7 linked regions of the Cricetulus griseus genome follow. The protein of the gene in region 5 interacts with the protein of the main gene of each other region in a pairwise test. Links are inferred from orthologs where the notes say so. Each region holds a gene or a part of one and is shown on either strand. Other genes may lie near its edges.

The links.
Region 1: the proteins of Nudt18 (region 5) and Hsd17b14 interact in binary tests that used the Homo sapiens proteins (3 or more experiments, as listed by UniProt). The two-hybrid records come from large-scale screens. The link is inferred for Cricetulus griseus from reciprocal best matches to the Homo sapiens genes NUDT18 and HSD17B14.
Region 2: the proteins of Nudt18 (region 5) and Evi5l interact in binary tests that used the Homo sapiens proteins (3 or more experiments, as listed by UniProt). The two-hybrid records come from large-scale screens. The link is inferred for Cricetulus griseus from reciprocal best matches to the Homo sapiens genes NUDT18 and EVI5L.
Region 3: the proteins of Nudt18 (region 5) and Rabac1 interact in binary tests that used the Homo sapiens proteins (3 or more experiments, as listed by UniProt). The two-hybrid records come from large-scale screens. The link is inferred for Cricetulus griseus from reciprocal best matches to the Homo sapiens genes NUDT18 and RABAC1.
Region 4: the proteins of Nudt18 (region 5) and Paics interact in binary tests that used the Homo sapiens proteins (3 or more experiments, as listed by UniProt). The two-hybrid records come from large-scale screens. The link is inferred for Cricetulus griseus from reciprocal best matches to the Homo sapiens genes NUDT18 and PAICS.
Region 6: the proteins of Nudt18 (region 5) and Nt5c2 interact in binary tests that used the Homo sapiens proteins (3 or more experiments, as listed by UniProt). The two-hybrid records come from large-scale screens. The link is inferred for Cricetulus griseus from reciprocal best matches to the Homo sapiens genes NUDT18 and NT5C2.
Region 7: the proteins of Nudt18 (region 5) and Rab3il1 interact in binary tests that used the Homo sapiens proteins (3 or more experiments, as listed by UniProt). The two-hybrid records come from large-scale screens. The link is inferred for Cricetulus griseus from reciprocal best matches to the Homo sapiens genes NUDT18 and RAB3IL1.

The regions. Positions count from the first base shown.
Region 1 is NC_048599.1:154,472,424-154,475,923, forward strand, and holds part of Hsd17b14 (17-beta-hydroxysteroid dehydrogenase 14), read left to right. Parts: intron 1-2,708; coding exon 2,709-2,776; intron 2,777-2,863; coding exon 2,864-2,960; intron 2,961-3,333; coding exon 3,334-3,500. UniProt on the Homo sapiens protein: Catalyzes the NAD(+)-dependent oxidation of L-fucose, yielding L-fucono-1,5-lactone, which rapidly converts spontaneously to L-fucone-1,4-lactone. Can also act on D-arabinose and L-galactose, with lower catalytic efficiency. Does not use NADPH.
Region 2 is NC_048597.1:89,010,935-89,014,434, forward strand, and holds part of Evi5l (EVI5-like protein), read left to right. Parts: intron 1-106; coding exon 107-247; intron 248-1,255; coding exon 1,256-1,384; intron 1,385-3,500. UniProt on the Homo sapiens protein: Functions as a GTPase-activating protein (GAP) with a broad specificity.
Region 3 is NC_048602.1:9,714,295-9,718,385, reverse strand, and holds the start of Rabac1 (prenylated Rab acceptor protein 1), read left to right. Parts: upstream 1-1,291; 5' UTR 1,292-1,409; coding exon 1,410-1,465; intron 1,466-1,637; coding exon 1,638-1,850; intron 1,851-2,089; coding exon 2,090-2,187; intron 2,188-4,091. UniProt on the Homo sapiens protein: General Rab protein regulator required for vesicle formation from the Golgi complex. May control vesicle docking and fusion by mediating the action of Rab GTPases to the SNARE complexes.
Region 4 is NW_023276807.1:143,382,218-143,386,043, forward strand, and holds the end of Paics (multifunctional protein ADE2), read left to right. Parts: intron 1-322; coding exon 323-587; intron 588-824; exon of another isoform or gene 825-2,117; coding exon 2,118-2,276; exon of another isoform or gene 2,277-2,300; intron 2,301-2,554; coding exon 2,555-2,721; 3' UTR 2,722-3,326; downstream 3,327-3,826. UniProt on the Homo sapiens protein: Bifunctional phosphoribosylaminoimidazole carboxylase and phosphoribosylaminoimidazole succinocarboxamide synthetase catalyzing two reactions of the de novo purine biosynthetic pathway.
Region 5 is NW_023276807.1:225,221,067-225,225,271, forward strand, and holds the start of Nudt18 (8-oxo-dGDP phosphatase NUDT18), read left to right. Parts: upstream 1-1,405; 5' UTR 1,406-1,542; coding exon 1,543-1,704; intron 1,705-2,526; coding exon 2,527-2,740; intron 2,741-2,947; coding exon 2,948-3,543; 3' UTR 3,544-4,205. UniProt on the Homo sapiens protein: Mediates the hydrolysis of oxidized nucleoside diphosphate derivatives. Hydrolyzes 8-oxo-7,8-dihydroguanine (8-oxo-Gua)-containing deoxyribo- and ribonucleoside diphosphates to the monophosphates. Hydrolyzes 8-oxo-dGDP and 8-oxo-GDP with the same efficiencies.
Region 6 is NC_048596.1:14,664,244-14,667,030, forward strand, and holds the end of Nt5c2 (cytosolic purine 5'-nucleotidase), read left to right. Parts: intron 1-907; coding exon 908-959; intron 960-1,061; coding exon 1,062-1,122; intron 1,123-1,264; coding exon 1,265-1,441; intron 1,442-2,053; coding exon 2,054-2,287; downstream 2,288-2,787. UniProt on the Homo sapiens protein: Broad specificity cytosolic 5'-nucleotidase that catalyzes the dephosphorylation of 6-hydroxypurine nucleoside 5'-monophosphates.
Region 7 is NC_048596.1:50,432,918-50,437,215, reverse strand, and holds the start of Rab3il1 (guanine nucleotide exchange factor for Rab-3A), read left to right. Parts: upstream 1-1,498; 5' UTR 1,499-1,631; coding exon 1,632-1,642; intron 1,643-2,966; exon of another isoform or gene 2,967-3,036; intron 3,037-4,298. UniProt on the Homo sapiens protein: Guanine nucleotide exchange factor (GEF) which may activate RAB3A, a GTPase that regulates synaptic vesicle exocytosis. Promotes the exchange of GDP to GTP, converting inactive GDP-bound Rab proteins into their active GTP-bound form.

The sequences.
Region 1 (3,500 bases), on a different chromosome or scaffold from region 5:
CTCTGGAGACCAGGCTGGCCTCGAACTCATAGATATCCGCCTGCCTCTGCCTTCCGAGTGCTGGGACTAAAGGCATGCACCACCAACACCTGGCCACTTGTTATTTTTTTTAAAGAGTAATTTTTGGTGTGCTAGACAGATGGTTCAGCAGTTAAGAGTGCTTGCTGCTTTTCAAGAGGACCAGAATTTGGTTCCAAACACCCACACTTGAAGGTTCGGAGCTGTAACTTCAGCCCCAAGGCATCCAGTGACCTCTTCTGACCTCCAAGAGCACTTGCATATCCATGGCCTCATGCGCGCGCGCGCACACACACACACACACACACACACACACACACACACACACGTATACATTTAAAAGGTAATGTTTATACTTCTTGAACAATTTCATACATACATACAATCTATCTTCATCACCATACTCACCCCACCTCCCCTCTCCCAATTGCCTGACATCCTCTTTCTTTTCTCTCTCCTCCATCTCTAACCCCTTCCTTCCTTCCTTCCTTCCTTCCTTCCTTCCTTCCTTCTTTCCCTCCTTCCTTCCTTTCTTTCTTCCCCTCATTTTTAAATGACCCACTGAGTGCATCCACCTACCAGTGGACAATCTACCAGTGACCACACCCTCATCCTCAGTAGCCTTCAGTTGCCAATATTCTTCAGTAAGGTTCGGGTCCTTATGAGCCCCCCCAATCCATGCTTCAATGCTAACAACTGCTTCACTTGTGTGAGTCTTCTGCAGGTAAGTTGCAGTCAGTTCATGATATCAAGGGCCATGGAATGACCAGAAGACAGCATTTTACAGGACTGCTCTCTGCCCCCCAGATCTTACTCATTCATGTTGTCCCCTGAGCCATAGCATGGGGTTGCTGTGTAGCTGTCTCAGCTAGGGCTGAGCACTCAGCAGTCACTGATTCTCAGCACATCAGTCTCTGCATTAACTATCCACACTGCAAACAGGGGCTTCTCACTGGGCATGGCAGAGCTCACGCTCAATCCAGCACTCAGGAGGCAGCAGCATGTAGTGAGTCTTTCTCTGTCTGGCCAGCCAGCTCCCAAATAATGACACGGAGACTTCTTTTAATTATGAGAGCTTGGCTTTCACCTAAGCTTGTTTTTAACTAGCTCTTATAACTTGAATTAACCCATTTCCACATTCTGTCACTTACTGCCCATCTTGCTTCTCCTGTGTCTCCTGGCATCTCTTGTGCACCTATTCTCATCTCCTACTTCCTCTCTCTCTCTGCCTGGAAGTCCTACCTAGACCTCCTGCCTAGCTATTGGTCCTTCAGTTCTTTACTAAACCAATCACAGCAATACACATTTCACACAGTGTGTAATATCCCACAATATTTCCCCCTTTCGTCTAAATAAAAAGGAAAGGTTTTAACCCTAACATAGTAAAAACTATATACAATAAGAACAACTATCAAATAAGAATTACATTCACAATGTTTAGTCCATTTGTATTTGGCAAATTTGGAAAAAAAATACTGTATTATCTATCTTAGTGGGTCCAAACTTTTATGCTAAAACCATTTTCTGTCATAATTTGTATTACTATCCTAAAATATCTTTTCACATCTAAAAACATCTTCTTAAATAAACAACTTAAACTTTTTTGTCTCTCAATTATATAAACTTTATTTCCCTACCTATTGGCTGTTCAGCTCTATTAAACCAGTCACAGCAATACACCTTCACACAGTGTACAAATAACCCACAACAGAAGCAGGCAGATCTCTGCGAGTTGGAGGCCAGCCTAGTCTACAATAGACTATAGTGAAACCCTGCCTCAAACATTCACAACAATAAAGGAGGAAGAGCTTTTCTGACTGAGGCAGAACTGTCGGAGGCCTGAGGCCTGGGACCTCCTGAACCATGGACTTCTGACCAGGTTTACAGTATTAGGCATGAATTCTCTCCTGTAGAACTGTCTTCTTATATAAACAGAAAGCAGATACCCCCATAACATTGATGCACTATTGCACCTGCCTGGCAGGTCAGTATTGCAGCGTACAAGGTTCACTTGTAGATAAATCTATTGATGACTTATCTCTCCCAGTGACCTGAATAACATTTTCTGTGACCATGGAACTTATCCAGCAAGGAGGAAGGTTTCAGGCCAGTTCTAGCTTGATTTCTCTGTATCCTGCATCCAAAGTATGTTGTATCTTCAGCAGTAAGGTCACTAAAAACATGTAATATTATTTATCTTTAAGTGTAGGGGTGTTTTGCCTGCATGTAGGTATATGCATGGGTATCTTTCTGATCCATGTTGAGTTTAGGTCAGAGGACAACATAGAGCAGTTAGCTCTCCTCCACTGTGTGTGTCCCAGGGATCGAACTCAGGTTGTCAGCCAGTGTCTTTATTGCTGAGCCCTCTTGCAAGGCCCCTCTTGTTTTTGTCTAAGCCACAGTCTCACCCTGAAGCCTGGGTTGGTATTGAATTCATGGCAATCCAACTGTCTCAGTCTCCCAAGTTCCCATAGGTGTCAAAACCCAGGAATGTCCCACACTACCTCCCTCATTTAGTCCCAAGTTACAGCAACCTGTAACAAATTGGCCTGCACAGAGCCCATGCACAGGGAATGTCTGCAAGAGGGCTGAGACTAATCTCACTGATGCTAAAGCTCCCGACCCCCCAAGAAGAGTTTGGGAAGGACTCCATCCTCAGACCCAACCCTCCCTGGTCTCTGCCTCTGCAGGGTGCAGTAACAGCTATGACAAAAGCTTTGGCCTTGGATGAGAGCCGATATGGTGTCCGTGTCAACTGGTGAGCGGATCAGAGAAGCTGGGGGCAGTTGGGGTTGCCAAGACAGAAGTAGCATATGCTTCTCCCATCCCTTCTCCCCTTACCTAGCATCTCCCCAGGGAACATCTGGACTCCACTGTGGGAAGAGCTGGCAGCCTCAACTTCAGACCCCAGTGCCACCATCCTAGAAGGCACCCTAGCCCAGGTAGGCATGGTTAGGAGCTGGGAGGGACGGAGTTAGCTGGGGGTAGAGTGTGGATCAGGTCAGGGTCTTTCTTCTCTCCTCTCCTCCTCTTCAGAGCTTCATATAATCCAGACTGGCTTGGACCTTGATATGTACCTGGGGACATCCTCGAACTTCTGATTTTCTTGCTTCCATTTCCTGAGTGCCGGAGTCACAAGCATGTGCCATTCTTTGTGTGTGTTCACGGGCATGCACTTGTGTGAACTCTCTAGCCCAGGCTGGTCTTGAACCCAGGGCAAACCTCTTGCCTAGACCTCTCTTGCTGAGATGACAAATGTGAACCAACATACCTAAGAGGGCTACTCTTAATTTTCTTTCTCCCTTCTCTCCCCAGCCCCTGGGCCGCATGGGCCAGCCAGCTGAGGTGGGGGCTGCAGCAGTGTTCCTGGCCTCTGAAGCCACCTTCTGTACAGGGCTTGAGCTTCTTGTGACAGGGGGTGCAGAACTGGGGTATGGATGCAAGGCTAGTAGGAGCAGTCTTGTAGAAGCCCCCATTCTCCC
Region 2 (3,500 bases), on a different chromosome or scaffold from region 5:
TCACTCTACCCCTCTTCTCATCCTCTCTGAGCCTCCCAGAGGCCAGGCCTGGGACCAAAGCAGATAGTCACGGCACCCTTTCCACCCCCATCCTCACTGTGCTCAGGGGCAGGTGACACGGGCACAGGAGGCTGAGGAGAACTATGTCATCAAACGGGAGCTGGCAGTGGTGAGACAACAGTGTAGCTCAACTGCAGAGGACCTTCAGAAGGCACAGAGCACCATTCGGCAGCTGCAGGAACAGCAGGTACCAGGCGTGTGGGTGGGGTTGACTGGAAGGACCACACCTCCCATAGGTCTTTGTGTCACCCCTACCTTCTGGCCCTTGGGGACTAAATCTATAATGTGGATAGGGGTATCCAGAGGCTAGTGTGGATTTGCTTCCCCTCACAGCTAACCACCCCTAGACTCCACAGGACAGCCTAAGATTACTATTTCCCACCCTGAGGTGGATTTGCCTTATCTTGACACTAGGCAGTAGAGTTCCTCTGAGAAACAGAGCCTCTGAATCCTGCTATGGGGCTATGAAAAGGATGATCAGGTCCAGAGCTGTTGTCCTCAGGCTCAAGAGGAGCACTGAAAGGAGGAGGTCTCCCAGAAGAGGGACACCTCAGAAGGCCTGGAGTCTGTCTTGACCAGGAAGAGATGCTAGCACAAAGAATCAGAGTTCCTAACAGGACAGAGGTCAGGGAATAGGGGCTGTGGCTGGAGAAGGGTGTGCCTGCCAAGACCAGATTGGGCACCAAATTGGGGTGGTCCCCTAGAGGAATTCCCTGCCAGACCACCAGAACAGAAAGAGAGGGTCTTGGTTTCCACCCAGAAGCTCAAAGGGAACTTCCTTCCTTCCCATTCTTCCCTGTCTTGAAGTGGGGCCTGAGGGGGACAGGTAGAAAGGTCCCAACCCTGCCCGTGGTCCCTGACCATGCCCATGTGTATGATTCCACAACTGGCCACACTGCAGGAGCACATGCCCTACCCACAGCCTGTGGTCCTGGGACTGAGTCTCGGAGGCTCTCAGAAGGCAGCCCAAAGTCATGGAAAGTTCCATTCCCAACATTCCTTCTGTGTGGCTTTCCCTGGAAAGTAGCCAAGTCAGGTCCATTGCCTCCAAGTGCCATGAACAGAGAATGGATTCAAGCCAGGATGCCTAAAAACTGAGACCCTCTTCCAGCCCAGGCCCTCTTGCCCACTAGCATGGAAGCTGTCCACCATGCAATAGGCTCCACCAGGGACCAATGCTGTCCTTTGTCTTCAGGAAAACCCACGCCTCACAGAGGACTTTGTGGCCCACTTGGAGACAGAGCTGGAGCAGTCACGGTTACGCGAGACAGAGACTTTGGGGGCCCTTCGAGAAATGCAGGACAAGGTTCTGGACATGGAAAAGGTATGGCTGTGAAAAGCGACAAAGGTCTCCAGTGATTTTTTAGAAGCTTCAGCAGCCAGGCATGGCCACATACACCTATTATCCCAGCACTGTGGCGAAGAGATGGGAGGATATCTGGCTAGGTGGTCTTTAGACTATCTCCAGGTTCCATGAGAGATCCTATCCAAAGGGAATAAGGCAAAGTGATAAAGTGATGGGACAGGCCTCTTCGAACATACACACATACACACATGTGCATAACACACATGTGCATAACATACACACACACACACACACACACACACACACACACACACACACAGAAGAGAGAGAGAGAACCAACAAGAGGCAGCCAGGGCGATTGCCCAACCCTCCCTCAGTCAATCAGTTCCCATGGAAGAGGAGACCTCTCCATGCTGCTTTAGAGCCCATTGCCCCTAGGCATTGTCCCCTACACCACCACCATCTCCAAACAGGGATCTAAGGGTACAGAATTTGGAACCCTCATCCCATGCTCATATACACAGCAGCACAGCCCTGCCCTAAGTCTCACCGTCAAATCACAATGTGTGGCAAGCTTCATAAGCTGCCTGAGTATCCCACCACTGCACTGTGCATTGGGGCTGAGGTTGCAGGATGTAGGGAAGGAAAGACTGCCGGGGAGGGGAGGGGATCATTAGCATCTTCTCTCCAGAGGCAAACTAAGGGCCACACTTTCCTGCCTGCAGCCCTGGAAGTGGGCAACCAGACCTGCGTGCCTCTCCAACTGCTTTGTGAGCTGATACAACTCAGGCTAGGATGTACCTCAGTTGATGGAATGCTTGCCTAGCATATATGAAGCCCCAGATTCCATCCCTAGTGCATACCTGTTATCCCAGCTCTGAGGAGATGGAAGAAGATGATCAGCCATTCCAAACGATCCTTGGCTACATAGCAAGTCTGATTTCACCCTGAGTTACCTGAGATCATGTCTAAACAAACAAACAAACAAACAACTACAACAAAACTCTCCTGGGAGCTGCCACAAAGTCCTTGATGTTGAGAAAAAAAAAACCCTTCCCCAATGTCAGCTACTGCTGTGTAAGGGCCAGAAGCCTCAACCCCATCAACACACCTCCTCCACACAAGAGGGAAATGTGCCTGGCCTAGACCCTGTCTTTGGTCCCACATACAGACCTAAACAAGGGTCAGGAAAGACCAGGCCTACCAAGTTATGTCATGATCACCACCACACCTCCAATCATTAGGCCCTCTCCACACTAAGACAGAACAGAGGCTGGTTCCAGACCTGTCTGTTTTGGAAAGAGGCTCCAGGTCTTTCCTCTTTGGCTCTTTTGGGAGGCCTGCCACCCAGCTCCCAAATAAACCACACGGAATCTTACTCTTTCTTATAAATGCCTGGCCTTAGCTTGGCTCATTTCTAGCCAACTTTTCTTAACTTGCCTCTGGACTTTTACCTTTCTTTATTTCTATATATCTTTTTTTTTCCTTCTTGTTCAATATCTTGCTCTGTGACTGGCCCCTTCTTTTCTTGCTTCCTTCATCTCCTTTGCTTCCTGATCCCTCCTTTCTCCTGTTTATTCTCTCTGCCTGCCAGGCCCACCTATCCTTTCTCCTGCCTTGCTATTGGCTGTTCAGCTCTTCATTAGACCAATCAGGTGTTTTATATAGGCAAAGTAACAGTTTCACGGAGTTAGACAAATGCAACATAAAAGAATGCAACACATCTTTGCATCATTACACAAATGTTCCACAGCATAAACGAGTGTAACACATCTTAAGATAATATTCCACAACAAGACCAGACCGGGGTGAGCCCCTGCTGATGTAGTTCTCAGGACTGGTCATGGGTCCTGAAAAGGTTGAATATTGGAGCTAAGAGCAGACCTGCACTCACCCTAGCTGCCCCAGAGTGCATTATGTATTTAACAGTAATATTTAGGGGAGACCACAGTTTAAGGCGGTTTCCCAAGGCAGACTTGAGAGAGAGTAGATGCTGTTTTTGCACCCATTTTGCAGATAATGAACCTTGGCTAGGGTTACACATGAGGGTCCTTTTCCCCTGGGCTTAGTCCCTGATCTCTTGGATGTGCTGTAGACGAGGGTGTCACCATCCCTTCATCATCCTTCATCAGCT
Region 3 (4,091 bases), on a different chromosome or scaffold from region 5:
GAAGACCAATGTACATAAAATAAAAACAAATCATTTTTAAAAACCAGGTGGTAGTGTCACACACCTTTAACCCAAGCACTAGAGACAGGTGAATCGCTGAGAGTTTGAGACCAGCCTGGTCTACAGAGCGAGTACCAAGGGCTATGTAGAAAGACCCTGTCTGGAAAAAGTAAATAAATAAAACAGATGTTTTAAATGAAAATAAAAAAGAGGGTTTGGAGAGATGACTCAGTAGTTAAGAGTGTGCGTGCTGCTTTTCCAGAGGACTAGAGTTCAGTTCCCAGCCCATGTATTTTGAACAGCTCACAATTGGTGGTAACTTCAGTTCCAGGGGGGGGATGTAATACCCTCTTCTGGGCCTCCTCAGGCACCGTCACCCATGTGGCACACACACATAAACCATTTATTTTTAATTCTTTTTGGTTTTTGGAGACAAGGTTTCTGTGTAGCTTTTGGAGGCTGTCCTGGCACTTGCTCTGTAGACCAGGCTGGCCTCGAACTCACAGAGATCCTCCTGCCTCTGCCTCCCGAGTGCTGGGATTAAAGGCTTGAGTCACCAATGCCCGGCAGAAGCCATTTTTTAGAAAAGATATTTTAAAAGTTATGTGTATCTGTGTAAGTACACGTGAGTATGTTTGATTGACTAGAGCTGGATATATACATATATAATATTTTTAAAAATTTATTTATTATACAGTGTTCTGCCTTCATGTATGCTATATGCCAAAAGAGGGCACCAAATCACATTTGTAGATGGTTGTGAGCCACCATGTGGGTTGCTGGGAATTGAACTCAGGACACCTGGAAGTGGAAGAGCAGCCGGTTCTCACACATCTGAGCCATCTCTCCAGCCCCTATAATTTTTGTTTTGTTTTGTTTTCTAAGGAAAGAGAAAGTTAATGAACTCCACCCCAGACCAGCCCAATCAGAATCAGAATATCTGAGGCTGCGGCCAATGTTTTTATTATTATTATTAATTATTTATTATTATTATTATTATTATTATTATTATTATTATTATTATTATTATTATTATTATTATTATTATGCCGTCTGGAGTCAGGATGATAGCTCCGCACCCTCCACGGAATCCCGCAGCTGCCATGCCAACTCCCGGTAAAAACGCCCCATCCTAAGAGCCCACGCTGCACGCTCTGAAACTACAGTTCCCACAATGCCTAGAGGCCCACGCGGCGCTCTTGGCATACTTCTCCCGAGGTGTCTTGCGAGCCCGACCGACCTCCTGACGCCGCAATGACTACAACTCCCAGAATGCTCGGAGACGCAACTACCGCCCCCTAGAGTGCCAAGCGGCGCCATGTCCTGAGCGTCCGGGCTCGGGCGGGGGCCGGCTGGGTGCGGCGGGGCTCGAGGCTGTCCGCGGCGATCCCACACACCGCAGCGTAGACATGGCGGCCCAGAAGGACCAGCAGAAGGATACGGAGGTGGAGGGGCTGAGCGCCACGTGAGCGAGCAGGGTGTAACCCCCCATACTCCCGAGCGTGGGGTCCCAGGCGTCCCGGCCCCCGGGCTTTGCAGAGGAGATGTCCCCCGGGGGCCGCGATGTGCTGGGATCTGGGGTCCGGGCCCTGGGACCGCTTGCGGCTGACCTGCCCCCGCCCCGCCCCGCCCTCCAGGACCCTGCTGCCCAAGCTGATTCCCTCCGGCGCCGGCCGAGAGTGGCTGGAGCGGCGCCGCGCGACCATCCGGCCCTGGGGCGCTTTCGTGGATCAGCAGCGTTTCTCGCGACCCCGCAACCTGGGCGAGCTTTGCCAGCGCCTGGTACGCAACGTGGAGTATTACCAAAGCAACTACGTGTTCGTGTTTCTGGGCCTCATCCTTTACTGCGTGTGAGTGCCTCGGCAGCCCCGCCCTCCTGCGCCAGGCCCCGCCCCCTGTTGCCAGGCCCCGCCCCCCGCCGGTTAGCTAGGCCCAGGGCCTTGTCACCCGAGCACCCAGGAGTCGGTCTGTATTCCTGAATCCACCCGAGCCGGGATGCAGTCTAGCCACCCCATGTGATGCCCAAGGCTAGAGGGAGCCGGCTCACACAGCCTCAGACGCCTGACTCCTGTCTCCCACACTCTTCCAGGGTGACATCCCCCATGCTGCTGGTGGCTCTGGCTGTCTTCTTTGGCGCCTGTTACATTCTCTATCTGCGCACGTTGCAGTCCAAGCTTGTGCTCTTTGGTGAGAAACCCCCCGCCCAAACGGATCCCCAGGTCCCACAGAACTGCAGACCTCCGAATATTTGGGAATCAAGTCGGTCCCACCGAGAGGTGCACTAGAGTCATTAAACTTAGTCCTTAAGGTCGCAGGTGAATACCCTCCAGTCTCAGCTCCCCAAAACCCAGGGAGAGCCCTAAAACCCCGGCTCCTGTGTCTCCTGTAAAATGAATCAGTCCTTCCCAATCCTCCCCGGGGAGAGCATCCGCTGCAGGTACCCACACTGGACACCAGGTGGCGACCGTGTGCAGGCCTAGGTCTGTCTGCCTTCCCATGCCTTCTGTCCCAGGGCTGAACTGGTAAGATACTAGATATTTCCAGAAGGGGAAACGGAGACCTGTCCGCCCACTGGGAAGAGAAGTGTCAGGGAAGACCCACTGAGAGGAAATCCCAGGTTTGCCAAGGAGACCTGTGACAGTCTTTCAGGTCCCAGACAGGTTACCAGAGGAAGATGGACTAGGGCCGAGCGAGAAGAGCCTGAAGCACAAGAGAACTTGGCCTTGGCAGATAGTAGTCACTAGGGCATACACAATTTCCAGACATAGGAGAGCCTGAAAAAAATTGTTTTGAGATAGGGTCTTCTTACGTAGCCTCGGCCTGCCAGGAGCTCACTCTGTAGACCAGACTGGCCTCCAACTCACAGATTTCCCCTGCCTCTGCCTCCTGAGTGCTGGGATTAAAGGAGTATGCAACCATGCCCTAGCCTTACAAAATTTGTTAAGCACCCAGAAGGCAGGCCCTCTGGGAAAGCAGCAAGTGCTCCTAACTGCTGGGCCGTCTCTCCAGTCCCCACAAACCAGATTCTTGTGAAACACTTCAAAGACAGACAGACGTTCTGGCTCATGCCTGTAATCCCAGCATTTGGGAGGCTGAAACAGGATGATTGCTGTAAATTCAAAACAAGCCTGGGCTTCAGAGTCTTTTAAAAAATCAAAATGAGCCAGGCATTGGTGGCGCACTCTTTTAATCCCAGCACTCGGGAGGCAGAGGCAGGCGATCTCTGTGAGTTCGAGACCAGCCTGGTCTACAGAGCGAGTGCCAGGATAGGCTCCAAAGCCACAGAGAAACCCTGTCTCGAAAAACAAACAAACAAACAAACAAAAATCAAAATGAGAGCTGGGCATGGTGGCACACACCTTTAATCCCAGCATTCGGGGTGAGGCTGGTGGATCTCTGTGAGTTCAAGGTCATCCTGGTCTACAAATCGAGTTCCAGAACAGCCAGTGCTATACAGAGAAACCCTGTCTCAAGTTTTTAAAAAACAAAAAATCAAAATAATGGTTTGGAGAGATGGCTCAGTGGTTAAAATTGAATTCTGTTCTTGAAAGGACCCAGGTTTTGTTCTCAGAACCCAATCCCCATGTCAGGTGACTGTCACAAGGCCACCTGTCACTCCAGCTTCTGGCCTCCATGGGCACCTGAACTCTTGTGCACATATGGCCACACAGGGTACATACACGTAATTCAAAGTAATAAATAAAATTATATAAGTTAAAAATAAGAAGACAAAAACCCTTAGGTCATGGACTGGAGAGATGGCTCCGGGGTTAAGAGCACTGACTGTTCTTCCAGAGGTCCTGAGTTCAATTCCCAGCAACCACATGTTGGCTCACAACCATCTGTAATGGGATCTGATGCCCTTTTCTGGCACGCACTGTATACATGATAAATAAATAAATCTTTAAAAAAAAAAAAAAACCCTCTTAGGTCAGACCTGGCAATGGGGCCACAAGGTTGAGAGTCCTGGTATCCAGGCTGGGACATGAGGCTAGCCTGGTCTGAGAGACAAGTGGCTTGGGAGGTCCTGGGGAGGGGGGGATAGAGAGCAGAGCTGGGGCTGAGGAAGGTGGTTTCATTCTGGTTATGTT
Region 4 (3,826 bases), about 82 Mb from region 5:
AACAGCAAAGGGACAACTGTCCTTGTTTGTCTAATCTTCACAATACCAAGACTAAGGGACGGAAATGGGATTCTACATACCAAGTCTTAATTAAGGCTTTTAACTCAACTACTTGTAATTGCTAAGGAAGAAAGCATTTGACCTGGAATGAAAAGCGAAACTTTGCTGCTGAACTTTTTCATTGAAAAAACATTTCTCCATCAACGGGCATTTTCAGATATATCTCATTATGTAAACTTGTCATAAGCTCTACTTAAAGAAAGGAAGGAAGGGTTTTTAAGCTAGCAAGAGAAAATTATTTTGTAAATTTCTATCTTTCTAGTCTTACCGTGACCTCAAGGAAGTAACTCCGGAAGGACTGCAGATGGTAAAGAAGAACTTTGAGTGGGTTGCAGATCGAGTGGAGTTACTCCTGAAGTCAGATAGTCAGTGCAGGGTTGTAGTGCTGATGGGTTCCACTTCTGACCTTGGTCACTGTGAGAAAATTAAAAAGGCTTGTGGAAACTTCGGGATTCCATGTGAACTTCGAGTAACATCTGCCCATAAAGGACCGGATGAAACTTTGAGGATTAAAGCAGAGTATGAAGGTAAACTTAATAAATAAATGGACAACTTCAGCTATTTCTGATTTGGGTAAAATATTTTAAAGTACATATGTTTTGGATAATAATGTTTTAAAGAGGCTTTCCATATTTCGGAGGAAAGTCATGTGGAATGCCTATACTTTTACACTTATCCCCAGGGATAATGTCTGACATCCTATCCCTCTTTGTGTACCTCATGCATGTGATGCCCATAAACTCATGCAGGCACACATACTTGTAATTTTTTTGAATCTTTAAAAAAAAAAAAAAAAAAAGGCTCATTGATTAAGAGGAGCACTCACAGCCATCTAGCTCCAGTCCAGGGGAATCCATCAACTTCTTCTGGCCTCCAGGAGCACTGCACACCACACCCATGCATAGACATGGAGGCAAAACAGCCATACACATAAAATAGAAGGATGTGTGGTCTCCTTGTCTTATTAACAGTGCCCCTTGAGCACTGTTGCTGGCTTATTCCAAAAGAAAAGAATCCCTTACCCCAACTGTGGGATGCCTAAGGCTAAAGCAGCAGGGCCTCTCTGGTATCTTTGTCAGTTTTCTTGAAAGAAAATAAGAAATAAAGCTATAGTTTCAGGAGTTAATACATTAAGTAAATGATAGGATATCGTTGGTACAAGAAAACTTAACAGAAGTGTAGTTAACAATGGGAGGAGGGCTTCCGGTCCTTTAATAAGCTAATGAAGGCTTGGATTCTTTCTCCAGAAAGGCAGACTAAGTTGTAATAAGAAATTCAGGATTCAGTATCCAGCACCACATAAAACCAGGACCTGTAGTCCTAACAGGTGGGAAGGTCGGGTTTGCTGTAATTCAAGCTGAGCCTGGGCTAGAGTAACACTGTATTAAATATACAAACTTCCTAAACTTTTGAGATATAGAGATGTACTTTTGCTGTTGGTTTTTGATACTGCTAATGATGGGCCTTTCAACTCAAGCATCCTAAGCCCTTTAACTTTGGGTGCTTTTACTACATGTACTCCAGCACCCAAATACTGAATACTGGAAGTAGCCACGAGAATTTTAATCACTATTAAATGAGTCTACTGGCACCCTCTGGAAGGACAACTCATCATAAAAGATAGCTGTTCAGCTGGTGAGGTTCTTCATGCTGCTGAGTCTAAGCAGCAATATCAGAAGGAAGCTGTGAACCAGCCATTTCCTTACCAACTTCAGGACATTCTCTTTATACTGTAGATCTCAAAAATGGCCATTCCTATGCTACTTAGGTTATTATTAACTGTACAGCTAGGTATGCTTTTTCTATAGCAGACTACTAAAGGATTTGAGTTCATTTTGTATTTTACATTTATTTTTATAGTATATGTGGAGGTTAGAGAACAGCTTGCAAGAGTCAATTCTTTGCCACTATATGGGTTCTAGAGGTCAAACAGGTCACCAGACTTGGCAACAGTTCCCCTTACCCACTGAGCCATCTAACATGCCCCCCCCCTTTTTTTGTTCCTGCTGTTATTGTCAACAAAACAAAAGGACCTGGTTATCTTGTAATTTCCCTAGGCGATGGCATACCTACTGTATTTGTCGCAGTGGCTGGCAGAAGCAATGGTTTGGGCCCAGTGATGTCTGGTAATACTGCATATCCGGTTATCAGCTGTCCCCCCATCACACCAGACTGGGGTGCTCAGGATGTGTGGTCATCCCTTCGACTGCCCAGTGGTAAGATCTTGAAAATTTTCAGTACTGGGAGTATACACAAAATTTCAAGATGCAATCTTAATGTCTCTACCAGCCTCATCTTCTAATATTTAATTACACATTTTAGCCACAGCCTACTAATTTTAAATCAGACGTTATATTTTTGAATTATTGTGTATTTTTTGCTTAATATGCATCTCTTAAGAAGTAAAGACTTGGCTTTATTATCATCTTTTGTTTTTTTATTTCTTTTTAAGCTACTAACTCATTTATTTGTCCTTTCTATTCTGAACCAATAGGTCTTGGCTGTTCAACTATACTTTCTCCAGAAGGATCCGCCCAGTTTGCTGCTCAGATATTTGGGTTATACAACCATTTGGTATGGGCCAAACTTCGAGCAAGCATTCTTAACACATGGATATCTTTAAAGCAAGCTGACAAGAAAATCAGAGAATGCAATTTATAAAAAAAAAAAAAAAAAGTAATTTTTAGGAGAAAAGTTACACATTCCTAGTTTGAATTAAAAAGAAAGAATTTAAGCAAAATGATTTCACATCAGAGAAAACAATTCAGTTTACTGTTGAACAAAATGGTCCTCTATATTTTAGGGGTTGACAAGTTGTCAGTGAGTATTTGTTATTAATATTTTCTAGTTCTGAATAATGATGTGTTCCTGTAACCTCAGCACACCAGAGGCTGAGGCAGAAAAACTATGTGTTGAGACCCTGTATTGAAATAAAAAAATCTTTATAGTTAGTAAAAATTAGTATGACACTGTTCAATTATATTATCAATCACTACATGATCCTTGTTGGGCAGTTAATGTAACATTAGCAAAGAAATGTCTTTTATGGAGCTGGAGCTGTCTTTCTGGTTTAAGAACCAATGTGGCTCTCTTGCAGAGGACCAGAGAATTTGGTTCCCATCATCCATGTGGAGTGACTCATAATCACCTGTAACTTCTAATTATTTCTAAATGCTAATAATGATTTTTTTGTAAATCAGTAGCTACTGGTTGGTCTTCTGTGGATCATGATTTGAAAATTAAAATATTTCTGTTTATGCTAATAACTATTCTCACTGCATGGTCTGTATGTTCTAAGTCCTTATCTAAGAAAGTACATAGCTACATGAATCTCCAGCTAAGGTATGTGTTTGTGCTTTGTTGGGTTTGTTTTTATGGTGGTGAGGAAACCCTAGGTCCTTACACTTGGTAGGCAAGCACTACCTCTGAGTTACATCTTTACCCATGTTTGCTTGGGGGGTTTTGTTTTGTTTTTAAAGAAATTGAGAATAGGGGTAGAAGAAACACATAAAGTGGAAGTGATGGAAAGGGCTCCTTCCTGAGGTGTTTGTGTATTAGGACAATTCTTGAAAAAAAGTAGTCTCCTTCCCATTCCAATAAAAGACTACGTAAATTATGGCTTAGCCATTTAACTAGGTTTTATGGTAGGTGCCTCTGTGGGCCATAAACTTTGATTTTCTAGTAAAACATTTTGGACACAACTGCAGTCAAAGGAGTGAGTGGATGTAGTGGCTAGTTGTTGGTTTTGCTAGTGAATAGCTGGACA
Region 5 (4,205 bases):
CCAGGGAGTTTGGATCAGCATCAGGGAGAATGGCTAGATGACCTGTCCTATGGGACTGAGATACTGGGAGTGAAGTCCAAGGAGCATAGAAGCTTTTTTGTTTGCTTTGTGGTGCTGAGGAATGAGCCCAGGGCCTTATGTATGCTGAGCTATACTCCCCAGTTTCACAGGGGCTCTATGGGCTGGCCTTTGTGTAGCACCAAGTGCTGTGGCTTTGCTGTTCTAACTGGAGAATAGGTGGGCTGCCTGGTGACTGCTGAGATAGTCCACACAGCTCCTCCCAGGCCATGCTGACCTCTCAACAACCAGGGGGGAGGGTTGCTATAGACCTACTTTACAGATGAGGAAATTGAGACCAGGGCACAGAAAGAGCCAGCCAGCAGTGGCTGGGTGTCTGGCTTAAACTCCAGAGCTTTGTCAGCACCACCAAGCCACTGTCCCCCAAAGAAGGCACACAGAGCCAGCAGGAGGGAGGAGGAAAGGGACAGCTAGGATGGGGTGAGGAGCCCAGACTTGGCCTGCTCTGTGGATTCCTCCCAGCTGGCCCTGCCTTCCTGTCCTGAGCCGAGGTTAAAGAAGCTCTTCGGAGGAAAGGTCAGCCTGGGAGAGAAGCAAGAGCTGGCCAAAACAACCCACACCCTGTTCCCCATGGCCAGGCCCTGCATGCTGGGTAGGAGGGCACCACCCCTGCCCTCTAAGGATGCAATCTGCTGCAGAAGCCTTGAAACCGCATGGCAAATGCATTGAGCAGGGGGGATTTGGTGGGGGCTGCATCGAGGTCTCCAAGCTCCTTTTCTTCCTCCTCCCACATTCCTTTCCTTCACCCCCAGTCTTGTCCCACCTTGACCATACCAGTCCTGTCCCATCTCTCCTCTGAGCCTCATCAATCACTTCGTTTGCCCAAACCAATCCTGCAGCTGCCTTTTTAAATGCCTGGGTCCATCAATCTATACAGATCAGAATGTCCCAGGCAACGTTATGTGCCCCAGCCACATGACGTTCAGAAAATGTTAACGAAGTCAGAAAGTTATTTAGGGCCTGTTCGTCTTGAGCACTTCTCTAGTTTGTTTATGATAAACCTGGACAGTGGGAGCTAACTGCGGAGCCTAGGCTTCCGTAATGTCATCAGAGAGTGACGCCACCGACCCTGGTCGCGGTGGTGTTCAGCACCCTACAGGCAGGATGACATCACCGTCGGAACCCGCGCGGACAAGTGCCTGCTGGGTGAATTAGCAAAGAGCTGGGGAGAGTGAGGAGTGAGCGATCAGCGACTGAAACCCGGGAGAGGTGGGGGGAGGGGGCAGAGGGCGTGTCCCCGGAGCCCCGCCCCCACGGTAACTGCTGCCAGCTGACCAATCTGGGCAGGCCGTGGTGACGCGCAGCCTATCAGCAGCCCGGTCTCTCCTGGAGGTTCCGCGTTAGCCTTGGCCCCCAAGGCAGGGGAGGGGGCGAGGGGCTCAGCGGTTCGTCGCAGCTTCGGTCCCCGCCGCCTGCCTCCTAGGGGTCTGGCGAGTCCTGGCTTGCCAGCTCCCTGGAGACTTGATGGCCTCGGAAGGCCTGACGGGGGCGCTGGCCACCGTGCTGGGGGGCAAGGGGTTGCTGGTGCAGAGCTGTGACTCGGAGCCGGCTGGCAAGCCGCTGTCGCCCGTGCGGCTGCGGAAGAATGTCTGCTACGTGGTGCTGGCGGTGTTCCTCAACGAGCAGGTGAGCGTCCGGCCGCCGGCCTTCAGCTGGTCTCGGGAGCGCGCCGCCAGCCCTGGTAGGAACAGGAGAGCCAACGGCCGCTGCCTGTACGTGGCGCTTCCCAATGTTGCAAAGCACTCTCTCTCACACTAGCCGCTGAGCTGAGATCGTCCTTATAGATTATATATAATACAGAGGGAGAAGCCGAGGCCCCCAGGCGGTTTGTCTCATCCACTAGACCTCGCCTCCGCTAGCAGAGGCCTGCAGTATACCTCCTTCCTTCAGGAGTCTGGCACGGTGCCTGGCTTCCTGAAGGATTTCCTAGACCCTCCCGGTCCCACGGATAGTTATGGGGAGCTTACACGCAGGCCTCCGATCCGACCCTCTGGGAGTTTTTGTTTGCGATCATCTCTGTACAAGTCAATGTAAAAACATCCTGGCCAAGTAGGGATAGGTGGTATGGGGGCAGAGCTGAGTTTCAAAGCTCAGACCCTAGAGAGTGGGGACCGGATACAAGCTGTTTGTAAAACCTATGGGGAACAAGAGAGCAGCAACACAGTGGCATAGGTATGAGTCGGTTTTAAAGTGGTGGCTACCTTCAGCATAGGGCCTCTTTGGAGCAACGCCCAGGGACCTCAGTCCTTTCCTACAACACAAATGCCTCTGAATCCAAAGTTGGGTTACAGCTAAGAGGCGGCAGCCATAGCGCTCAACCACACCAGGCTCCCGACGACCCAGAATCCTGAAGGGAGCTTTGGGCCAACATCCATCCAGCTAAGGGCTGCTCTTCTGAAGCCCCCAGACTGGCGGCATAAGGTGAAGATTGCCTTGCTTCTCTCTCAGGATGAGGTGCTGATGATCCAGGAGGCCAAGAAAGAGTGCCGGGGAGCATGGTACCTCCCTGCAGGGAGAATGGAATCTGGGGAGACCATCGTGGAGGCGATGCAGCGGGAGGTGAAGGAGGAGACTGGGCTGCTCTGTGAACCAGTGACACTGCTGTCTGTGGAGGAGAGGGGTGCCTGCTGGATCCGTTTTGTATTCCTTGCTCGACCCACAGGTACAACTCACCTGGTGGCATTCTAGCACTTTCTTAGTTTGTTCTCCTTAGCTAGCCATGCTGTGGCTTCTGCAAATTGCCACTGACCTATTACAGGCTAAGAGCTTGGGCGGGGAGTCTCCCCCTGGAACGCTTGGGTGGCCATTTACTCTCTCAGCTCAACATTTCTCATACTGGCCCTCTCCTCATCCCCCAAATCTCCCCTAGGTGGAGTTCTCAAGACTTCCAAGGATGCAGATGCTGAGTCCCTCCAGGCTGGCTGGTACCCACGGGTCTCCCTGCCCACTCCGCTTAGAGCCCATGATGTTCTGCACCTGGTAGAGCTGGGTGCCAAATTCTGCCAACAAGCCATGCACCCTCTCATTCTGCCTCAAGAGCTTCCCTGCAGTGTGGTCTGCCAGCGGCTGGTGGCCGCCTTTACAACAGTCCAGTCAGTATGGGTGTTGGCGAGCACAGTGGGGACTCCTCACTTGCCCATCACTGGCTGTGGCTTCGGATCCATGGAGCAAAGGGGTGGCATCAAAGTGGCCACCCTACGGCTACTACAGGAGTGTCTGACTCTGAACAATCTGGCAGTGGAGACCAAGGGGTTGCTCGGACTGCAACACCTCGGCAAAAACCATGTTGACGGTCTCTGCCTGAATGTTCTAGTGATGGTGGCTTTTCGGATCCCAGGAATTGAAGATGAGCCCCCAAAGATTAGGGGTGAGAACTACTTTTGGTGGGAGGTATTAGAGGAAGACTTGCAAAAACAGCTTCTACACAGACTTCAGGAATCTTCTGTCATCCCCCTGAGCAGATAGAGAGGTATCAGCAGAAGCTGAGCATCCACCCGCCCTCTGTAGGCTGGAAAAAGGCTGGTAATCTCATGGCACTGTGTGCAGGGACCCCACATTGAGCCCAAAGGGAGAGTGCCTTGAGTCCAGTGCTCAAAGGTTTCCGTTGTTCTCAGGATACACAGTGCTTCTCTCAAAACAGTGAGAAGCTTTTTGAACCCCAAACGGCATCATCCTATTTCTTGGTCCACTTTGGTAAATGTTGATCCATCCAAGTTCTTAGGACTGTGGAGGGGATAGGACATGGGGGACTCATCCCTCAGGGCAGAGTCATTGCTGAGTAAAAAAGTGTTATTTAACTTGCCTTCTTGCCTAAATGTCTGTGTGAAGATGTGGGGCCACTGTCCCATCTACAGCCACCCAAGTCTTTCCTCATGATGCACAACACACACCGATGTGATGCAGGGGTGTAGGGCTCCCAGAGTAGGCAACACTGTTCACTGAAGTCTCAACCCACCCAGGCTCTCTTTAGCTTTTCTGTCCTGCCCGGGGTGGGTGTGGGACTTTGAAGTGACCACACCCCTAATAAAAACACAGCTCAGACCTGTCCAGGTGTTGGAACAGTTTGGTCTGGTGAAATTGTATGTGGGACAATAAAGAGCTGAGAATGACACCTTGGCCTCTCAGCC
Region 6 (2,787 bases), on a different chromosome or scaffold from region 5:
ATTCTGGCTCCTCTGCTCAAAGTCTGTATGCACCTTGAGCCTTGTTTCCCCGAGAAAATAGAATAGCGATAATACCTGTCTGCAAGCTGGTGAGTCTCAGGCAAGGCAGTCCACATAAAGAAAGCAGAAACGATGGCTTTCCTTCTCTGTGACAGCACCTGATTTCAATGACTTTCTGCCTGTAAAGATGGTAGAAGAAACCCTCTTCTGTGTAATAGATAAATCAGGGTGTGGTTCTCCTGGGGAACTCAGGAGGCATGTCAATGAAGCTGCCTGTCGCCCTCACAGTTTAAGCTTCCCACCTGTGAAGTTTTAGAAGTCTAGTTGACCTTCAGCTCTGGACCAGTCACCTAATTCCTAGTCCTTTTTTCTAGAAATGGGGCCAGCTAGATGTCTGAGTGGGTAAAGGTGCTTGCTGGTAAACTTCACCTGAGCTCAGTCCCCAAAGTCCACATAGTGAGAACTGACTCATACACACACCCCATGGCACACGCAAGCCCTCCCACCCCCACCACACACACAAACTTCAAACATAAACTTTTTTTTTTTAAAGTCAAACTATCAGTAGTTTCTTTGGTGCCTGCACCCAAGGGAGCAGAAATTAGTGTTTTGGAAGCCCCCACGTGAGCACATGGTTGGAAGGGGGAGTTGTGGTCAATGGCTTTTAGGCAGGAGGAGACCCTTCAAAGGAAATTTTGGTGGTCTTCCGCTGGCAGAGTCCACGTGAGTGTCAGCAAGCTTCCCTGGGGAGACGCAGATCACACACACACTTGACTCTGCCATGTTAGGCAAGGCTGTGCTTTTTGTCATATCTTAGAGTTCACTAATTTGAGCAGCACTTAAAAGCCAGGTACCTTTTCTTGATTTATGTAAAACATTTTCTTTTCCTTTCCAAACTTTTAACTAGCACTTTTTGAAGAACTTCAGAGCTTGGATATTTTCTTGGCTGAACTCTACAAGTAAGTTTCCTAGTTCTAAACCCTACCTACATCTTCAAGAACAACATAGGAATACAATGTGTTCATTTAGAGATTTGTTCTGTGCTTTCCTTCTGTCCCCAGGCACCTTGACAGCAGTAGCAATGAGCGCCCAGACATTAGTTCCATCCAGAGACGGATTAAGGTATCCAGATGGGATTTGGGATAAAATGTGGAAAATCAGTTGTCTAAGTCATTTACATGTTTCTGATTTTATGTAGGAACTTGGATGTTGCTGGTGACCAACAGATAGTTGAATCAGCTGAGAACTTTTTTTTTTTTTCTAGAAAGTAACTCATGACATGGACATGTGCTATGGGATGATGGGAAGCCTCTTCCGCAGTGGCTCCCGGCAGACACTCTTTGCCAGTCAAGTGATGAGGTATGCTGACCTCTACGCAGCGTCTTTCATCAACCTGCTGTACTACCCGTTCAGCTACCTCTTCAGAGCCGCCCATGTCCTGGTGAGTAAAGCTGTTGGGACAGACAGCTAAGATGGACCTTGGGTCACATCTGCACCAGGTTTGTGGAATGACATGGGAGATAGTCTATGTGAAAACTGTGAATGGCTTATGTGGTTAGATAGAAAGACTTTTCTTCCTTTGAGTAGGTGGTGGCTCACACCTAGAATCTCAGCTTTTGGGGGTGGGGGAGCATGGGTAGGAGGATTGGGAGTTCAAGGCCAGCTTCAACCACATGAGACCCTATATTTAAAAAAAAAAAAGCCAGGTGTGGTGTGCACGCCTTTAGTCCCAGTACCTGGCAGGTGGAAGCAAGTGAATCTCTGAGTTAGGACTACATTGAGAGATGCCTTCGTTAGTACTAATTGAAATAAATGTTCTTATATGTGTGTCCCAATACTGTTCTGTTTCAGGACTGGTTTAGGGAGTATAAAAATAGAAAGTACGGTTTTTCTGTTTTACTGGTTTTCATCTGTAGGAAAGGATGCGGGCAGCTTCTGTCCCTGCTGGCAGATTTCACTCATACAGACACTGTAGATAAGACATGTTAGGGTTCAGATCTGGGTGGTACTTATCTTTGTGCTGCCTGTAGCCTGAGCCTTTGCTTTGTTCTAGATGCCTCATGAATCAACAGTGGAGCACACACACGTGGATATCAACGAGATGGAATCCCCTCTCGCCACCCGGAACCGCACATCTGTGGATTTCAAAGACACCGACTACAAGCGGCACCAGCTCACAAGGTCCGTTAGTGAGATTAAGCCGCCCAACCTCTTCCCGCTGGCTCCCCAGGAGATTACACACTGCCATGATGAAGACGACGATGAAGAGGAGGAAGAGGAAGAATAAGGAGGCAAACTAAAACCCTGAGCACCCATCAGCAAGTCTGGCAGGACTCACGGGGCAAGGGTGGCCTTGTTTCGATTCTGTTAGGGAGGGTGGGTGGCCCTCATCAGAAGTACATTTGGAAAGTTTCAGAAGGCTTTAAATAATTCTAATCATAGCTCCTCACTTCAGTTTTGTGTATCTGTATTCTCTGCAGATAGTTCGAAACTGTAGGAAGATGAGGTAAAGTCGGGTGGGACTGCGTGCAGATGGCACCCTGTGGTTGTGATGGTGTCTCCTTGTCTGTCTCCATCATCGGGGTGCCATCTGCACACACTGCGGGTGGGGGAGGGCTGCAGAGCAGAGCCGAGAGCCTGGTGGGAAGAGGTGAGCCACACCACCGAGTTACTGCAGACTGTGCTGTTGCTGCCCCCCCCCCCCATCCAGTGCATCACCCCGTATTTGCACATCCGTGGGGAAATGCACTGGCTTCAGTGTCAGGTGCAGTCAGTCCTCTGGCAGGT
Region 7 (4,298 bases), on a different chromosome or scaffold from region 5:
GGCTTAGGGTCCCCCAGACCTGGAGTCAGAGGAGGTCATCAATTGCCTAATGTGGGTACTGGGAACCAAACTTGGGTCCTCTGCAAAAGCAATGCATGCCCTTACTGGCTGAGTCACCTCTCCAGCCTAAACTTGTTTTTGTTTTGAAAGGTGACACTGTGTTGGTGAAGATGGGTCCTAGGCAAGTTGAGGCTCTGGCAGTAGAGGCCCTTGAAAGCAGGTCTCTCACCTATGATCCACCATACTGGATTCCATAAGTCAAGCATGGTGGTACATACCTGTGGTCACAGCCACTGAGGAAGTTGAGGGAGGATCATTGCAGTCCAGAAGCTGGAGATCAGCCTAGGTAATATATGACTCACACCCACTGAGAAGAGGGGATTAAGGGAGAGGGAGAGGAGGAGGGAGGGAGGGGTTCCAGCCTAGAGGGTCTCCTGCTATTGCATGGTCCTTAGATAGCTCAGAAGGGGCAGCAGAATGTCTCTTTGTGTGGATGGATGAATTGAGATTGTGTTCTCTCTCAGAAGCCCAGAGAGTTCTGTAGACCCAGCCTGTGGGAGCTGGTCCTAGCAGCACTACAGGAGGGATTGGCTATGGGCTCTACTCATTGTATCCATCATGAACAGAGGCTAAACCTCATTCAGGGTAGTGATCAGGGCCAGGATAAAGGCAGGCCAGAGAAACTGAGGGACAGGTGACCAGTGGCCAGGTATTCGTTTTTTACAGATCTGCTTTTATTTATTTATTTATTTATTTATTTATTGGTTTTTCGAGACAGGCTTTGTCTGTGTAGCTTTGGAGCCTATCCTGGCACTCGCTCTGTAGACCAGGCTGGCCTTGAACTCATAGAGATCCGCCTGCCTCTGCCTCCGGAGTGCTGAGATTAAAGGCGTGCGCCACCAATGCCCGGCTCAGCTCTGTTTTTAAATACCTGGGATTGACAGGTGTTTGTGAGGTTGGAGGAGAGCTAGCTGGAAAGACTGGGATGAACAATGTTCAGAGGTACATGGGGAGGGCCCTGGAAAACAGAATTGGTAAGTTGAGCCAAAGTAGTGCTCTCTTGGGTTAACTCTTCAACGAATGGGACTAGTTTGGGGTCTCCCCCACTCCATTCCCAGAAGTCCAGGGACTGATGCAGAGCTCTGAGCTTCAGAGTCTGGTAACACGGCTAGAAGTCTGAGTGTGTAGGAGGTGTCTGGCCGCTTGGAGTGACAATCTGCGGGAGAATCATAGCTGAGACCCTCGGGAGCCATTGTAGGTTCTCAAGCAAGGGTGGTCCAGAAGTGAGAGGCACAGAGTGAGTGGGAAAGGCCAAGGCCAACTCTGACTGAGAGATGACGGGCCAGTTCTGCCCTCACTCAGCGGGATCACCGTCCCCACGCAGTTAGAGGGACAGGGCTGGGCTGGAAGAGGGGCGGGGCCGGGCACGTGGCCTGGGGCCGCCTCTCGGGCACGTGACCCGCCCAGGGCAGGGGAAGGGCTGGGGTGGGGCGGAGCCGCGAACCTTGGCGGCCAGCGGGACAGACCGGCGGGGGAGCGATTGACAGGCTGCAGGGCAGCTCTGGTGCCCGGGCAGAGTTGGCTGTGCGCGTGGACGCGGCTGCGGCAACGCAGAGAGCGGGGGCGCCGGGATGTGGAGCGGGTAGGTCCCCGCATGCCAGTGGCGCTGCGCTCGGTCTGGGCCGCGCTGGCCGCCTAGGGTGGGAGAACAGGGGGCACTGCTGTTGTTTGCACCCCACTTGGGAGATGATCTGTACTCCCAGCCCTGCCTGCAGCGGAGGGGTGTATTGTACTGTGAGGACACGCTGCTGCCCGAGCGCTGAAAGGATCCTGACGGGACCGATTTTAGTTGCCCCAGGGTGGGAAGGTGACAGGGCCAACTCCTCCTAGCTCCAATGGAGCGCATGAGAGAAGTGGGGGGTGGGGTGAGGAATAAGTGGTAGTATGTATATCCCAAAGTAAATCTGGGGCACGCATTTGAAGGAGGGAACACCCATGAACTCTGGGAAAGCAGTGCAATTGAGAAAGCTAGCTGTGTCTCTCCAAGGTCCCTGGTCAGTTCACTGAAACCTTCAGATTTGGGATGGGTTTGTGCTGACCCGCAGAATGGAGCGGAACAGCACAGATCCTGAGACTTGGGTGAGCCCTCTCCACATCCTTCATCCCCATTCACATCTGTTAGGGCCATTGGTCCTTAAGGCTGATAACTGTTCGTGGTCAGTCTAATAGGAGATCCTGCCCCGTGTTCACAAGGCTGATGGCCTTTCTTGAATGTAGGCAAATACCTTCTCCCTCCCCTGGAAAGACTAGGTCTTGGGGTGGGGGTGGGAGCTGTTCCTACTAAGAACTGTCCCAGGATAAGAAGAAGGACAAAGGGGCCCCTGGGGAGGGGAACAGGTGAGATCTATTTACTCTTATGGGCCCCAACTGAGCTTGACCTGAAGGGCTAGGAAAGAAATGGGACTTCCACTCCAGCCAGGATACCAAACCCAGCTCATGTGAGGTGTGGACAGGCTTGGATCTTTTAGAGGGAGCAGAAGCCAGCCTGTGTGTGTTGGAATTTCACTCCAGGAAGAGAGACTAGCTAGGCTTGGAAAGTGTTTGGGGTGAGTTCTTGGTGCCTGCAGAGGTTGAGGCAATCCTGCTTGAGGATGCATTTGTTTGATTTGTCCAGGGCTGTGTGTTTGAGGAGCAGCCTGGTCTGAAGGAAGTTGTGAGCCTTTATGCTGGGTGGGCTGAGGCAATTGCTGTAAGACCCGAAGGGTGCAGGTCCCCTCCTCTGGGCTGGGGCGAGCTGTAGCTCTCTCTCTCTCTCTGTGTGTGTGTGTGTGTGTGTGTGTGTGTGTGTGTGTGTGTGTGTGTGTACACGTACATGGGGGTCAGAGGGGATGCCATGTGTCTTGTCTCTCTCCACTGTATTCCCTTGAGTTAGGAGTCTCTCACTGAACCTGGAACTTGTTTTTCAGCTACGCTGGTGGCTAGTATACCCTGGAGATTCTTATGGTGCTGTGTCCCCTCACGGTGCTGAGCTTGCAGGTACATATGGCCATCTGGGAACTGAACCCAGGTCCTCATGCTAATGCAGCAAGCAAATCCAGGGTTTCTAGGGCTTAGCTTCCTGCTGTAAGATGAACCAAGCTATCACTCTTGGGTATTTGTTAATGGCAGGGTCCTAAATGGGGATGAACAGACGTGACTGGACTCTGTAGGAGCCAGGAGTAGAGATCCTTCTTAGGATTCCAGAGCATAAGCCTCAGGTGGCATAGGTTGGCCTCAAATTCCCTGTATAGTCAAGGATGGCCACCTCTCTCCATTTCCCAAGGACTGGGATTCAGGCATGCGACACAAGGTCTGGTTTATGCAGTGCTGGGCTTGGAATCTCAAGCTTTGTGTGTGCTGGGCTCCACTAACTGAGCTGTAGCTCCAGCCTCAGTCTCACTTTGTGTTGCTTTGTTTTTGGATGCAGGTTCTTGCCACCTATGTGACCCAGAACTGACCCAGAATTCTTTTAGATAAAATTTTATTAGTATGCAGGGTGTGTGTGTGTAAAATGTCACCACATATATGTTGAGGTCACAGAACAACTTTATGACGTTGGTACTCTCCTACTTTTACATGGGCTCTAGGAAATGAACTAAGGCCCCATACTTAAATAGCAAGCCCCCTTCCTCATTTAGCCATCTCACTGGCCCTGGCCTAGAATTCTTGATCCTTTTGCCTTAGCCTCCTTGGTGCTGCACTGCTATGCCTACTGTCTAACTCACTTTAAGGGACTGATCCTCCACCCCCCCACCCACCCTATAATGGGCTTCTCCATTTCCTGTAGCTTCATAGGCCTGTGGTCTTGGGGGCCAAGCCTACTCTAGATGATGAAGTGAGGATGATACTTTGAAATTTCTGCACCTAACACAGTCCTGGACACTTTACGTTTGTTCATCAGAGTCCAGAGTCTGGGTTTAGTAGCACTGAGCAGCCATATAACATTGGTGTGACCCTCTGGTGTCAGATTCCCACTCACTGGATGGGACTAATTAGACCCATCTCTAGGGAGGACTACTGATGGACTGCTGAGAAAAAAAGTTGGCCCAGCCTTCTAGGTGTCAAGAGCCATGCCTTTGCCCCAGGCCAGTGACTAGGGAGTTCCAGAATTGCAGGTCTCTAGGCTCTGAAATCTTGCTTTGTTTTGTTTTGGGATAGGGTTTCTCTGTGTAGCTTTGGAGCCTGTCCTTGAACTTACTCTGTAAACCAGGCTGGTCTTGAACTCACAGAGATCCGCCTACCTCTGCCCCAAAGTGCTG